Linked DNA regions of Notamacropus eugenii. The protein of the gene in region 1 interacts with the protein of each later gene in a pairwise test. Links are inferred from orthologs where the notes say so. Each region holds a gene or a part of one and is shown on either strand. Other genes may lie near its edges. The genes, in order: ANKRD13A and QDPR.

Region 1 (7,725 bases):
AGTCATTTATCCTCTGCCTGCCTCAGTTTCCTCACCTGTAAAATGTGGATAATAATAGTACCTATCTCCCAGGGTTGTTGTGAGGATCAAAAGCTCTGGCTTAGCACAATGCCTTGCACATAGTAGATGTTACATAAATGATGGCTATTATCATGGCCATCATTCATCTGTTGTTCCTGCTTTATGGCCAAGAAGGGAATGCTTCATCATCTCCAGAGTGCTTGTCTTGCAGCATTGATTGAGTCATACTTGGCCAGCCAAAAGCAGCTTCTTTGTCCTCAAAGATCTGGAGCATTGAAATCGTTTGTACACATGGTTGGCAGAGAGTAGACAAGAACCTTTCATTGCAGTCAAGTTTGCAGCTTGAATCACAATATTTCAGAGCTGGAAGGGACCTCAGGGATCCAACCAGTTCAACCCATATCTGACCAGGGGTTCCTTTTGCTAACACTGACCAGTGGCTGCCCGGACTTGCAGACCTTCAAGGCTGAGAAAGCCACCTTTGAGGCAGCTCATCCCACGTGGGGACAGCGCTAATCGTTAGCAAGTTTTTCCTGATATCAAGGCTAAATTTGATGGAGGACCCAAGGCTTCTGGTTCTGCCCTCACAGGAGCCAAAGAAATCACAAAACTGATTCTTCGTCAAGTGATTGCCCTTCAAATATTTGAAGACACCCACTAGATAGGTGGTGCCGTGGATAGAGTGGCCAGCCCTGGAGTTAGGAGGACCTAAGTTCAAATTTGGCCTCAGACACTTAGGAGCTGTGTGACCCTGGGCAAGTTACTTCACCCTGTTTGCCTCAGTTTTCTCATCTGTCAAATGAGCTAGAAAAGGAAATGGCAAACCACTCCAGTATGTTTGCCCAGAAAACCCCAAATGGGGTCATGGAGAGTCAGACATGACTTGAAAATGACTCAACAGAAATCTCTTGAATATTTCTTTTCTTTTCCAAGCTAAACATCCACAGCTTGTTCAACTAATCCTTATATACCATATGGGTATATGTCACATATCCCTGCTCCCTGACAGCAGTCACTGCTTTGTTTTCTCTTTGTGTCTTCAGTGCCCAGCACAGTGTTTGATTACATAAGTGCTAACTGTTTAATTGATTATTAACAAGTTGGGTCTCCCCAGTAAACATCTCCTTGTTCCAGGAATTTTCTCTGGTTGTCCCCCATGTCTGAAACATTCTCCCTCCTCTGCTTTGACTACTGTTCTCTCTGGCTTTCTTTTGAGTCTCAACTAAAATCCTACCTTCTACAGGAAGACTTTCCTAACCCCTCCCGAGGGCCATCTCCAGTCATCCTGATTAGATCTCACCACTGGATCCAGATGGCTTCAGAGGAGAAAGTGAGGCTGGTGACCTTGACAGCCCTGCCTCAGTTAAATCCAGTTTATTTGCATGTCATGGCATCACCTCCCTGATGTCATGGTCCTCTTCAAGAATTAATTCTAGTGTTTCCCCCTGTTAATTATTCCTATTTAGCCTCTAAAAATATAGAGGATAAATTATTTCCTACTTATTCTCTACATAACTTGCTTTGTATATATTTTTTCCTAAATTGTCTCCACTGTTAAATTCTTTTCTTTTTCTTCCTTCTTTCCTTGGCAGTTGGGATTAAGTGATTTACCCAGGGTCACACAGCTAGTAAGTGTCTGAGGTCCCATTTGAACTCAGGCCTTCAGGGTCAGTGCTTTATCCACTTCACCACCCATTGGTCCCTCCATTAGATTGTGAACTCTTTGAGGCCAGATGCTTATCTTTTGTTTGTTTTTGTATCCTCAGGGCTTAGCATTGTGCCTGGCACATAGTAGGCACTTAACAAATATCTACTAATTAAGTGACTCATTTACAGACTGGAAATTCTTTGAAATCAAGGACTATTCCAGTTTTCATCTTATATCCCCAGCCCATGACATGGTGCCTAGCACATATCAAATGCTTAATAAATGCTTATTGACTGACTGACTGACTGATAGGCTGACTCTACATCACCCCCAGTAAGCAGATGTCAAGCCTCAGCTTGAAGACCTCCAGAGAAGGGAATCCACCACCTCTAGGGGCAACCCGGACCACTTTGTGACACTATAGTGTGGATTTTCTCTATCCCTACCACCAGGTCATATTGAATGAGGACTTGGATGCAACGTAACCTTTACAGTTGCATGCATGTTTAACACTAGGACATTTTCTTCCCTATGGCCTCTATGTATGTAAGCATTGTGATAAATCAAGTTTAACATCTTTCAGATAGGACTCTTTGTGTGCCTTGGAACACAATTGTCCTCTCCAGACTCTGAGTCAAGGCAATCTATTATTATATTGCATCCCATTTTTGTTGCCAGGAGGGAACTTATCCAGTGGTTATCTCCATAACAAGATAAAGTGCTGGATTTGGAGTTCACATCTTGCCTTTGATGTAGGCTGCTTGTGTCAGGTGACTCAGTTCTCTCATCTGTGAAATGGGGATAATATTTGAACGGCTCACTTCATTTGGTTGTTTCACTACTCAGAGTTCACATGTATAGGATGCTTTGCAAGCTTTAAGGGGTTGTATAAATGTCAGTTATTATGATTGGTTTCCAAGCAGTGAGGTGCCACTCACGGAAATGTAATGGCTTCTGGATCTGTTGTGTGGAGAATGGATTACAGCAGGATTCCCAACCAGCTGTTGTGTCTAGAGCTGAAGCACAGAAGGAATGCTTTATGAATACATCTGAGAACAGTAGCCAAGAGTATAGTGTGGTTAATTGTGGGCAGCTGGGAAACAATGGCTACAGACAGGCTAGTCTGATGTCAAAGAAGGCCAGATGAAAAACAATGCTGTGCTCTCCAAAGTGGAAAGTCAAAGGGAGAGAAACATTCATGAAAACTTGGCATTTTTGGAGTTCCAGAGCTGTGTTCAAATACAGGATCTTCCACATTCTAGGTTTTATGGTAAAGGGTTAGCCAATTTCTGGGACAGCTGGCACGGTGAGATAGGAGGCCTCAGACACTTTAGTAGCGGTGTGACACTGATCAAATCACTTACCCCTATTTGCCTCAGTTTCCTCTTCTGTAAAATGAGCTGGAGAAGGAAATGATAAACCACTCCAGTATCTCTGCCAAGAAAACCCCAAATAGGGTCACCGACAGGACCCCCCCAAAAACAACCCGACAAACAACAACAAAATGTCAATTTCCACCCCCACATTAAACAACAATAAAGTCAATTTTCACCCCCTCACAACTAAACAACAACAAAAAGCCAATTTCTACCTCTTCCCCACTAAACAACATGTCCATTTCTATCCCCTCAGGACTAAACAACAACAGAAGTCAATTTCCACCCCCACCCCACTAAACAACAAGAAGTCAATTTCTGCAGCCCCACCCCCAACAACACAATCAATTTTTGTTGTCCTCTTGACTAAACAATAAATCAGTTTCCATCCTTCCCCCAACTAAACAGCAACAAGCCAATTTCCACCCTTTGACTAAACAGCAACAAAAAGTCAATTTCCACCCCTCCCCCCCACAACAAGAAGTCAGTTTCCACCCCTCCATAACAACAGCAACAAGAAGAAGTCAATTTCCATCCCATCTGGACTAAACAATAACAAGTCAATTTCCTTGGGAGCAGTGTGGACTCTTTAGCCTACAATTCAGATGTCTCTGACTCAAGTTTCTCCCACTCCAATTCATCCTGTGTTCAGTCATCAAAACGATTTTCCTAGAACACAAGTCTGATCATGCCACTCTCCCCCGACACCCCGTAAACTTCAATGGTTCCCTATTGCCTCGAGGATCTAATACAAAATACTCGGTTTGACATTCAAAGCCCCTCACAATCTGCCCTTTCCAGTCTTCTCACACTTTATTTCCCCACAGGGATCCACTGACACTGGCCTCTTGGCTGTTCCAAGAACACATTTTCTCTACTTCTGATTCCTGACATTTTCTCTCTGGCTGTCCCCCTATGCCTGGAATGCTCTCTCCCCTCTCCACTTCCTGTCTTTCCTGGGTTCCTTTAAGTCCCAACTAAAATTCCACCTTCTCCAGGAAGCTTTTCCCGATTCCTCTTAATTCTCGTGCTTTCCTCTTTTAAACGATTTCCTATACTAAATTTCCTGTACTAAACTTGCTTTGTTTATATTTGCAGGTTGTCTCCCTCGTTAGATTATAAACTCCTTGAGGGCAAGAACAGCGTTTTGCATTTTATTGTATCCCCCAAGGGCTTAACAAAAGTTTATCAATCGATTAATTAAATGCTTGTTAACTGGCTTCTAGTCTGAGGAGTCAACCATCCCCATCTCTAATGTAGTGATACAAGTGACTTCCTCTTGTAATTTAAAAACTTCCCCCAGTTCGGATTCAAAGAGGCTCTTAACCAATCACAGAAGAATCCGCCCTTGCCCAATATGGCCGCCGGGGCGTCAGGAGCTGGGGCGGGGCCAAAGGTGGCCTGAATGGTTTTACCCATTTCCTCCTCCCCACCTCCTGTGATACCGAGCCAATGGAAAAGCCCGAGTTGTGGACGAGATTAACAGGGGCGCTTGGGGCCGGGGGTGGGGTCTGGAGGTTCGTGAGAAGCCGAGTTTGGGGTGCCAGCCTCAGCGCCGTGAGGCGGGGACCGGCCACGCCCGTGTGGTTTGGGGGCCTCAAGCTCAGCGTCGGGGGCCCGAGTGTCCGGGTCGGCCTCAGTCCGCGCAGCCGCAGGTTGAGTCTTCCCCCCCCCAGGCCGGCCGGTGTGGTTTGGCCCAGCCCTTCCCTGTTTGGGACAGTTCGGGCGGAGAAGTCGCGGGCGGAGAGCGCCGGCGTCGGGGCGGAGGCGAGAGGGGCTGCTAGCGGCCGAGGCCGGGGGCGGCTGGCGGCAGCGGAGAGCGGACTGGGGAGCCGAGGGCCGGGGGCCGGGAGCCGGGAGCCGGGGGTCGGGAGCCGAGGGCCGGGCCGGGCCCGCTGTCCCCTGCGCCGCTCGGGGCCCCCCGGGGCCGGCGGGGGCCTCAGCATGTCCTGCGGGGGTGACGGCCCCAGCAGCCACTTCCCCCTGCACGCCCTGGTCTGGAACAATGACTACCGGCAGCTGGAGAAGGAGCTGAACGGCCAGGTGAGCCAACGAGCTCGGGGGGAAACTGAGGCTCGGAGTGCCTGTGGGGTCAGAGCCGCGGGGAGCCTTGAGTCCGTGAACTCAGAGGGGATCCTGCGGGCCCGGGATTCTGCGGGCCCGGGATCGGGGCTGCGGGGGTTCTTGGCCCCGGAGATGCGGGAGGAAAGTGAGTCCAAGAGTTGGGAACCGCCGGGAACCCTGACTTCTGAGTCCCAGGGCAAGCCTGGGGTCAGGAGCTGCAGGGGACCCCGATTCTCTTGATGGAAGAGGGGAACTGAACTCCAGAGCAGGCCGGGTGAGGAGGCTGAACCCCCCTGACCGGGGCTGGGAGGAGAAACTGAGTCCCAGAGGGGTGTGGGGTCAAGGGCTGGGGGCGGCGGCCTGAAGGGCAGAGAGGTCCTATCACTGAGCTGGAAGGACCTTAGGCACCTCGGGTCTAGCCCTGTATGTGTCCGAGGAGGTGTCAGCATTGAGACCCTTAAGGGCCATCTGGGCCAAGTACGGTCCAGGAGCCTTTATCCGGCGCCCCCAGATGCCAGCACCGTGCGGTGGCGGGGATCCAGAGAAAGGCCAAAGACTATTCCTGCCCTCGATGAGCTCATAGTCTAGTGGGAGAGCCAGCGTGCCAGGCCCTCGGGACCACAAGCTGTAGGCAGGCCAGGCAGGCTAATTAGCAGAGGGAAGGCTCCGGCATTAAGAGAGATTAGGAAAGGCTTCCTGAAAGAAGGTGGGAATTCGCTGGGACTTGGAGGAGGCCAGGGGTCAGAGATGAGCAGGGGGGCAGGCGGAGATGGGAGGGTCAAGGTGGGGGTCAAGGTTAGGAAGGACTTGGACCTTCAGGGAATTGGATTGTTGATTTCAAAGTCTATTGGGAACCACTGGAGTTTATTGAGTAGGGTTGATGGTTGATTCTGTGTTTTAGGAAAGTCACTTTGGTGGCCCAGTGGAGGAGGGACTAGAATGGGGAGAGACTTGAGGCAGGCAGACCGAACCTCCCCCAGAAGTAGTAGGGGTAAGGGCTTTCATCGGGTTGGGGGCTGGGTCCCAGGAGAGAAAGGTAGGTGTTTGTATTAGGGAGATGTTACAAAGGAGAAATGGACAGGTCTTGGCCACGGATCTGCTTTAGGGGGTGAGAGAGGAGGCTTCCAGGGTGATCCGTGGGCTGTGAGCTTGGGGGACTCAGACAGGGAGTCCTTGATGCTCAGAGGGGTCCCACAGAAGGTTTTCAGCTGGAAGGCTCCTTGTTGCTGTGAAAACCTTCCTAACCATTGGAGCCGTCCAAAAGAGGGATGAGCCAGCCACCTTGCCCCCAGAGGTCTTCAGGTGGAGGGTGCCAGTGGGGAAGGCTGAACTAGATTCCAGCTCAGAGATGCTGTGGCTCTGGACCTTGGGGACAACTGATTTGGAAATGCTTTTGAGTTCATTCATTCAAACCCCAGACCTTACAAGTGAGGACTCTGGCCTAGGAGACCTTTGAAAGGCTTTCCACAGTGTGACTCATTACACAGGACTTCGTTCTGTATCTAATGCATTTCCTTGAGTGTCCTATTCAGTTGGCTTATCCCCTTACTTGACTGCTTTGAGGTCAGAACCTGGCTCTTTACTTATTGTCTCCTCCAGTGGCTAGCTTGGTGTACTAACTTAGGGAAATGATAATAATCTATATTTGTATGGTACTTTCTTCACAAGAATACTATGTTAGATGGGTAGGGCTGTGTTATTATCCCCATTTTACGTGGGTGAAAATTGAGCGGAGATGTGAATTGAGTTTCCCATGGTCACACAGCCCACATCCTTGGGGCTTGGGTTTGAACTCAGTGTTTTTTTATATTATCTCTCTGTGAGTATTAATATGTGTTTATTGTTTTGTTGTGTTGTGTTGCCCAATTGTAGAGTGCCAGCCTGGCACCATGAACACTGTGGGAGTGAGCAGTTCAGACTGGGGTAGGACATTTTGCCTACCTCTGAAAGCTGGGGCCTGTTACTATTAGTGTGAGTCACTCTTTGGGTCAGAGGCAGGTGTGCCAGGGCATTATGTGGCTCTGAAGCAGCCCTAAGGTCGGCAGGAAAATGCTTTGAGGGAAGCACAAATGATTTTCATTTGGTTGGCTGAAAAAATCCGCAGGCTAAGCATCACCCAGTTGAGTGAAAAGTTGCTGCCAAGCATGAGCCTTCACCCTTGCCAAGAATCTGCCCGCTGCAGTTCTCCTAAGACAGCCCACTGTCAAAACAGCCAGAAATCCATTGTAAACCAGGTGCCTTTTCCCCCCAGTAACAATGCTTGGTACTTGTTTCCTGAATCTTTTCTGCCGAGACGGGTTGAATTTCTTTGTAAGGTTCATCCCTTTTAATTAGGCGGCGCAATCCCTGCAGAACAGTTGAGGAGATGCTTTGACATGTTTACTGTCAAATGATTCACTAGTCCTGGACCGACCAGCTTAGTCCTGACTGCCCATTCATCTCTCCATTTCCTGCCCAACACAGTCCAACCTTTTGGGTTTGGCTTTATTTCTGGGGCTGAAGGACAGTGAACATTAATAAATGTCTAATTAATAAATGTGTTAGTACACATAATGCTAGTGGGGTCTTTTTTAGGTTAAACCCTTTATCAGCATGTTATTTCTGGCTGTGGGGGGG
Region 2 (7,372 bases), on another chromosome or scaffold:
CTCATTTTATTTGTGCCTAACTACATGCTTCAATGCAACCTAGCAAAGATGGTCTAACAGGATACTGGGAAAGGGTTTACTACTGTGTCTTATCTTTCCCAAAGTACTTTACCCTGCAAACTGCAGCTTCAACTTTTGTCCACAGACATCCATGTACATGGATGTCTTCTTCCGTTCATGAGCCTTACCCTAGTCACCTCCCTTCTTTTTATGTATTTTTTCTGCATTACTGGTATTTAAGTTATCGTTAGATTCTGTTAAAGCTCTGATTGAACTTATTTCTGCTGAGTAATGATCTGTATATTTGTATTTGAATAAAAAAATTCCCCAATATGATCAGTGTATGTTTTCCTTCTGTTTGCTTAATAAATACAGTGTATTAATGTTTTCAAAGATTTATAAGAGTGTTGGTGGGTACAATCTGCCAAGTCACAGTATTTCTAAAGCTGAAAGATTCAAGTTCATATTCTTAGAACAAATATAAAAAGCACTTGACTGTGGGAAGATGGCCTGAAATAGGTTGGTTTTGGACCTCACCAACCAAAACTGTTCTCTCCAAGGATGGTTTTCATGAGATATCATAATGAATAAATTATGACTTTTCAGTCCTCACTCTTCTTGACCTTTTGACAACCTTTGACACTCACTACTGACCAACCCCTCCTCTTAAATATACTCTTTAGGTAAATCTCTCTGGGTTTTTGGGACATTGGTTTATCTTGGTTCTCCTTCGGCCTGATTATTTCTTCTCAGGCTCTGCTGTAAGATTATCATTCTAGTCCTAACAGTGGATATCCCCTAAGGATTTATCCTGGGCCTTCTTTTTTGTCACTATACTTGCTTTCTTGTCGATATCAACATGGGGTTAAGTCTCTTTGCAGACTACTCCTAGATCTATGTGTCTACCTCTAGCCCTGCACTAGCAAATATCTGTTAAGATACCTGTACCAGGATACCTATGGACATGTCACACCCAACAGATCTAAAATAGAACTCATTATTTTCCCCTCATAAACCCAGGTTTCCAATCTCAGAGGTATCTTCAGCTCCACATTCTCCTTTACCTCCCACCATATCCACAGCCAACAGATTCCAAAACTTGTTGATTCTACCTTGACCACATTCCTTATGGGGTAGCTAGGTAGCACAGTGGATAGAGTGCCAATCCTAGAGTCAGGAAGACCTGAGTTCAAACCCTATCTCAGATACTTATTAAATGTGTGACCCTGGGCAAGCCAGTTAACCTTGTTTGCCTCGGTTTCCTCATCTGTAAAATCTGCTGGAGAAGGAAATGGCAAACCAGTCCACTATCTTTGCCAAGAAAACCCAAATGGGGTTATGAAGAGTCAGACGTGACTGAACAGCATCTCATATCCATTGCCATTCAAATGGCTACCATGCTGCCTCAGACACTTGTGACCTCTTACCTGCATCAACATAATTCTCTCTTAACTACTTTCCCTCCTTCCAATGTCTCTTAGCTCTAATCCATACTCCACATATGGGCCAAATTAATCTGACTAAATCATAGGTCTAACCACATCACTCCCTTCATCAAGAAGTTTCAGGCCTCCCTATTAGCTCTAGTCTAGGTTAAAATACAAACTCCTCCGTGGAGGAACAAATTACCTTTCCAAGCTTAGTCAGAACTAATTCATTCCCTCTATATTCTAGCTAAAGCCTCCTTGTTCTCCAAACTCAGAATTCCATTTCCTACCTCCATGACTTTGCATAGGCTGTTCTTTGTGCCTAGGAGGATACACTCTGTCATAACTTCTATATTTTGAAACTCAAGTCTTAACCTGTATGCTTCCTATAGGAAGCCTTTCCCCTTTTCTGATTCCATTAGATGTTAAGGCTTTTTCCTCAACTGATCAAATACATAATTATATATATTCATCCCCCCTCTTGAAGACAAGAAATACAATTTTCATTTTGTCCCAGTGTGTGGCACACAGAAGGCACTTAATGGGTTGGGTTGGCCTATTCTGGATTAGTTGTTTTTCTGGAGTCCAGAAGAACAAGTCGCATTCTTTCCCCACATGAGAGCCATTCAAATATTTAATGCCCTCTCACTTCTCCATTTCCTTCAACCAGTCCTCCCAGGGCTTGATCTCAGGGTTCTTCACTGCCCCGTTCCTCTGCGGATGCCCTCCAGTGCATCAGCGCCTCCCTAAGAGGGCACCCATAGCTGAACTCACTGAGATGACAGGGACATCCCCTCTGACACCGCCCGTCTGCCGTCACCGGCTCTCCCTGTGTCCGGCTCTCCCTGTGTCCGGCTCTCCGTGTCCGGCTCTCCCTGTGTCCGGCTCTCCCTGTGTCCGGCTCTCCTTGTGTCCGGCTCTCCGTGTCCGGCTCTCCCTGTGTCCGGCTCTCCCTGTGTGTGTCCGGCTCTCCCTGTGTGTGTCCGGCTCTCCCGGTGTCCGGCTCTCCCTGTGTCCGGCTCTCCGTGTCCGGCTCTCCCTGTGTGTGTCCGGCTCTCCCTGTGTCCGGCTCTCCCTGTGTCCGGCTCTCCGTGTCCGGCTCTCCCTGCGTGTGTCCGGCTCTCCCTGTGTCGGGTCTCCGTGTCCGGCTCTCCCTGTGTCCGGCTCTCCCTGTGTGTGTCCGGCTCTCCCTGTGTGTGTCCGGCTCTCCCTGTGTCCGGCTCTCCCTGTGTCCGGCTCTCCCTGTGTCCGGCTCTCCGTGTCCGGCTCTCCCTGTGTGTGTCCGGCTCTCCCTGTGTCCGGCTCTCCCTGTGTGTGTCCGGCTCTCCCCGTGTCCGGCTCTCCCCGTGTCCGGCTCTCCCTGTGTGTGTCCGGCTCTCCCTGTGTCCGGCTCTCCCTGTGTGTGTCCGGCTCTCCCTGTGTGTGTCCGGCTCTCCCTGTGTGTGTCCGGCTCTCCCCGTGTCCGGCTCTCCCTGTGTCCGGCTCTCCCTGTGTCCGGCTCTCCCCGTGTCCGGCTCTCCGTGTCCTGCTCTCTGTGTCCGGCTCTCCCTGTGTCCGGCTCAGAAGGCTTCCACACGGGGCAGGTTCACTAAAGAGGAGAAGCCGGGGGCTCAGCGCCTGCCAGGGCCCCACGTAACCTCAGCCCCTCCCGGCGCCTGCTCGCGGCGCCCCGCGGCTCCGACGTGGGGGCTTCTGCCTGAGCCCCCGAGGCTTCCTCTGAACCTCCAGCTCGGCCTGCCCCCATCCCAGGACACGAGGCCTGGCCTCAGCGCACCTCAGCCTCTGCCCAGCACAAACCCTGAGGCGGGATTCCTCCCCGGACAAAGCCCACGGACCCTCCCTCGCCTGCAAGTCGGGGTCACCCCCTGAGAGCGACGGGCGCGTAGCCTCCGAGGCCAGCCAGGAAGGGCTCTGTCTTGTGATTGGGGGGCGCTTGCGACGTAACGTTACATTTTATTTATATGCATTTATATTCATATATGTTTTAATGTTATATGTAATATATAAACACGTAGAGTATAAATTATACGTAATACATACACTATACATATTAGTATCTTATTGCCCCAGACCCTCCCGGGCAGTCAGTTCCTCGAGCTAGCTACCTTTCCCGTCTCCTCCCGCAATCTCACGCGGACCTCCGTAAACAGCTGGTGCCCATTTTACGAGAATTACGGTAGGCCTTCCTCCGCTGCCTCAGGGACGTCTCCCTGTCCCTCTCCACCTCCTCCGTGGTGTCCTGACTGACAGGTAGACGCGCCCCTTCCCTCTAAGTGACGGTCCAGGGCCGGTCCTGATTGGCTCCCGGGAAACCCTGCAGCTTCCTCAGAGGCTGGGACGGGGCAGGCATTCAGCAGGCGCATAATAAAAGCGGGGCTGTATGGCTTTTGAATGAACGGTTGGCAGAACTGAGTTCGGTATACAGTTCTCTGGGCCGCTAAGTGGGAAAGAGAAACACCTAAAGAGAATGGTCCTTAATAATAAATAATAATAATTAATAAAAATAAGCAACATCTTGGCGTTCGCGGAGGATCTCCCGGCCCTTGACTCCCGGCCCCTTCGGTCACGTGACCTGGGCTCCGCCCTCCTCTCCGGACTCTGCGCTCTCATTGGCTGTCCCTCAGACCCGCTCTTCTCCCCCTCCCACCTCCCACCTTGGCCTTTATCCCCTGCGCTCCAGCTCGCTCCGAGGCGCCTCCCTCCCCCCTCCGGACCGTGAACTCCCGGGGCGCCAGGCTCCCTGAGGAGGGCTTCCTCCGCGGAGGCGGAGCCCCTTGCCGCACCGCCCCCCGCGGTCAGCCCGCCTAGGGGGCAGCAGCGCCCCTCGCCTGCAGGGCCCAGCAGGCCTCCGCTCTCGCGCCCTCTCTCGGCACGTGCCGTGCGGTGTGGGGGCGGGGCCGGATCTCGGGGCGGGGCCGGATCTCGGGGCGGGGCCGGAGCAGCGGGGCGGGCGGACGGGCACGATGGCGGCGGCTGCGGGCGACGCGCGCATGGTCCTGGTGTACGGAGGCAGAGGCGCGCTGGGCACCAAGTGTGTGCAGGCTTTCCGGGCCAAGAACTGGGTAAGCGGGGGGTTTCTGTGCGCGTGGCGCTGAGAAGGGCATGGACGGGGCCGTCGGGCTCCGCGGCGGGCACGGCTGGGGTCCTCGCCTGAGGGCACGGCTCCCCTGTTGCGTACTTCCGTGCCCACTCGTGCTTGTGCAGGGCTCTGTTCGTGCGCATGCTCCCGCTTCTAGGGCACCCCAAAACACACGTGGGTCCCCTGCCTTGCGCTCGCGTGTCTGCTTCTAGGATACCCCGAAACGCACGCACCCCTCCTCTCCGGCGCACGTTCGGACGCGCCCGCGCACCCCCTCCCCTCTTGTAAGGGTGGGCTTCAGACGTGCCCCCGGGCCCATATTTTGCCCCCGAAGCTTAAAGAGAGTCACTACTTGTGAGCGGTGGAATGAGCGAGGCTGCCCCTCCCCGGGGCTGGCCGGGTAGGAGGGAGGGAGGGCTAGCCGGGCCACGGGGGAGACCCCTGGGAGACGGGGCCACGGGTGTGCCGCCCACCGACCTCCTTCCCTGGGGGAAGAGGAACGGACGGGAGGGTGGGGAAGCCGGCGTGCAGCCCCGCAGGAGGAGGTGGTTGGCAGGGCTTGTAGATTAAGGGTGGGGCCGAAGACGGTGAATGTGGGGAGTCGGGGTTCCCACTAGGGCTTTGCTGCAGATGGGGAAGGCGCTAAACCCCTCTTGTCCCAGAAAAGGGAGTCGGCACGATCCTTAACCTCCCCTTTAGCCCAGGACTTGGTGATTTTTGGGGCTCCCCCCTTTTCCCTTTTTGCTCGTTTAGTCTAGGGACGCTCCTCGTTAGCGCCTGTTCCCTAGTCCTGGGACCTGGTTATCACTAAATGTATGTCCAGATCTGACTGTCTGATCCCTCCCTCCCTCCTTCCCTCTTTCCTTCTTTCCTTCTTTCCCTCCTTCCTTCCTTCCTTCCTTCCTTCCTTCCTTCCTTCCTTCCTTCCTTCCTTCCTTCCCTCCTTCCTCTCTCCTTCCTTCCTCTCTCCTTCCTTCCTTCCTTCCTTCCTTCCTTCCTTCCTTCCTTCCTTCCTTCCTCTCTCCTTCCTTCCTCTCTCCTTCCTCTCTCCTTCCTTCCTTCCTTCCTTCCTTCCTTCCTTCCTTCCTTCCTTCCTTCCTTCCTTCCTCCTCTCTCCTTCCTTCCTCTCTCCTTCCTTCCTCTCTCCTTCCTTCCTTCCTTCCTTCCTTCCTTCCTTCCTTCCTTCCTTCCTCTCTCCTTCCTTCCTCTCTCCTTCCTTCCTCTCTCCTTCCTTCCTCTCTCCTTCCTTCCTTCCTTCCTTCCTTCCTTCCTTCCTTCCTTCCTTCCTTCCTGACAGGCTGGCAAGGATAGTGCTGGCTTCCTGGGAGGGAAGGGAGAAGGTAGATGGGTCAGGCTGGGGCCAGGGTCCTTGTGTGACTGCCTGTACTTGTCCATATGGGGCCTCCAGTGGCCTAATTTTTTTCTGAGGATTTTGACAGTAAGCGAACACATTAAGGAAAAATTGCCAGAAGAACCGGTGTTTACACGTTGAAAGAGGGATCTTTGTTCCCATTGAGAGCATTCGTAGCTTGTCTATTTTTCATCTGTAGCATCAAACAGGATAGTCAGGCATGTGAGGAATTCCCATTTGAGTGAGATGCAAGATCTGTTTAAGAACTGAGCGTCTCAGGCATGCTTAAAGGCAACTTAGCTTGGACAACAAGGGATCGGTGAATATGGGGTAGATGAAGAATGAATGGAGGGAAAGTCAGGCTTTTACTCCATGTGCCTGTTACTGTGCTAAGGGCTTGAGGAGACCGGCACTCTAATTGGGGGAAATAATGCCAGGTGCATGTAAAGGTCTTGAATGTAAAGGGGCAGGACAGGGATCCAGAAGAAGAGCAGGCCTGAGAGTCAGAGAAGAAGAGGGAGTTTGAGGTCCCTATGGCAGGAGTGCAGATGAAGGGGAAAGGGGTCTGTTGACCTGTCAAGAGGGGAGAATGTAAAGGAGCAGGAAGCTTTCAGGTGGGTTCTGGGGTTGGGGAAAGGGCAAACAGCCCTGACTCCAGGCCTGGGCATTGTCTGGAAAATGGTAATGCTAACCACATATTTTTGTAGAGCTTTAAGATTGGTAAAGCATTTCCACAGAATATCCCTACGAGGTTGGAAGTGTAAGTATCATTTCCCCCCATTTTACAGCTGAGGAAACTGGAGCTCAGAGCCCCTTCTTGTGCATGGTTCCACAGCTAATAAGTGTTGGGACTAGGATTTGAGCCCAGGTCTCCTGACACCAGGTCCAGCACCGTTTGTATTAGGAGTCACGCTAGTCCTTAGATATAGGTGAATGACCTTGATTCTAGAGGCCTAATCAGGTACAAGGTTATAGGGAGAATCCCTTCCTTGGAAGGGATTTTTACATTAGCATGTGGGGGGGCTTCCTCTTTCCCACACCTAGATTCTGGCTCCAGCATGTCACCTTAAATAAATGTCTCCATTTTTCTGGGTCTCAGTTTTTCATCTCTGAAATGAGGGAGTTCGATGGGAGACCCTTTAGATTCATTTCTAGCTCAAATTTTCTGATTTGTTGTCCCTCTGTCCTAGGTTCTATCTTTTTAAGATTTAACTCACCATTTGATTGTAGCTCCTTAAAATTTTTTAAAATAGATCTATAGAATTTAAAATCTGAAATAGATTTTAGAGGTGATCCAGTATTACCTTTTTTTCTTTCCTCTCCTTCTCTTTACATTTGAGGAAATTGAGGTTCAGAAATATTAAGTGATTTGCCTGATATGAAAAAGTTAGTGGCAAAATAGGGTCTGGAACCAGGGTCTCTGATTCTCAGCCAGATGTCCTTTCCACTGTCTTGAAAGGCCTCTATTTTGGGGCAACTGTGTTAGGTTATAGGGAGCAGGTTTGATGATAAAAG

The links.
Region 2: the proteins of ANKRD13A (region 1) and QDPR interact in a two-hybrid assay, tested with the Homo sapiens proteins (2 studies listed by BioGRID). The two-hybrid records come from large-scale screens. The link is inferred for Notamacropus eugenii from reciprocal best matches to the Homo sapiens genes ANKRD13A and QDPR.

The regions. Positions count from the first base shown.
Region 1 is NC_092875.1:21,996,600-22,004,324, reverse strand, and holds the start of ANKRD13A (ankyrin repeat domain-containing protein 13A), read left to right. Parts: upstream 1-4,487; 5' UTR 4,488-4,497; coding exon 4,498-5,088; intron 5,089-7,725. UniProt on the Homo sapiens protein: Ubiquitin-binding protein that specifically recognizes and binds 'Lys-63'-linked ubiquitin. Does not bind 'Lys-48'-linked ubiquitin.
Region 2 is NC_092877.1:70,224,195-70,231,566, reverse strand, and holds the start of QDPR (dihydropteridine reductase), read left to right. Parts: upstream 1-4,182; 5' UTR 4,183-4,390; coding exon 4,391-4,489; intron 4,490-7,372. UniProt on the Homo sapiens protein: Catalyzes the conversion of quinonoid dihydrobiopterin into tetrahydrobiopterin.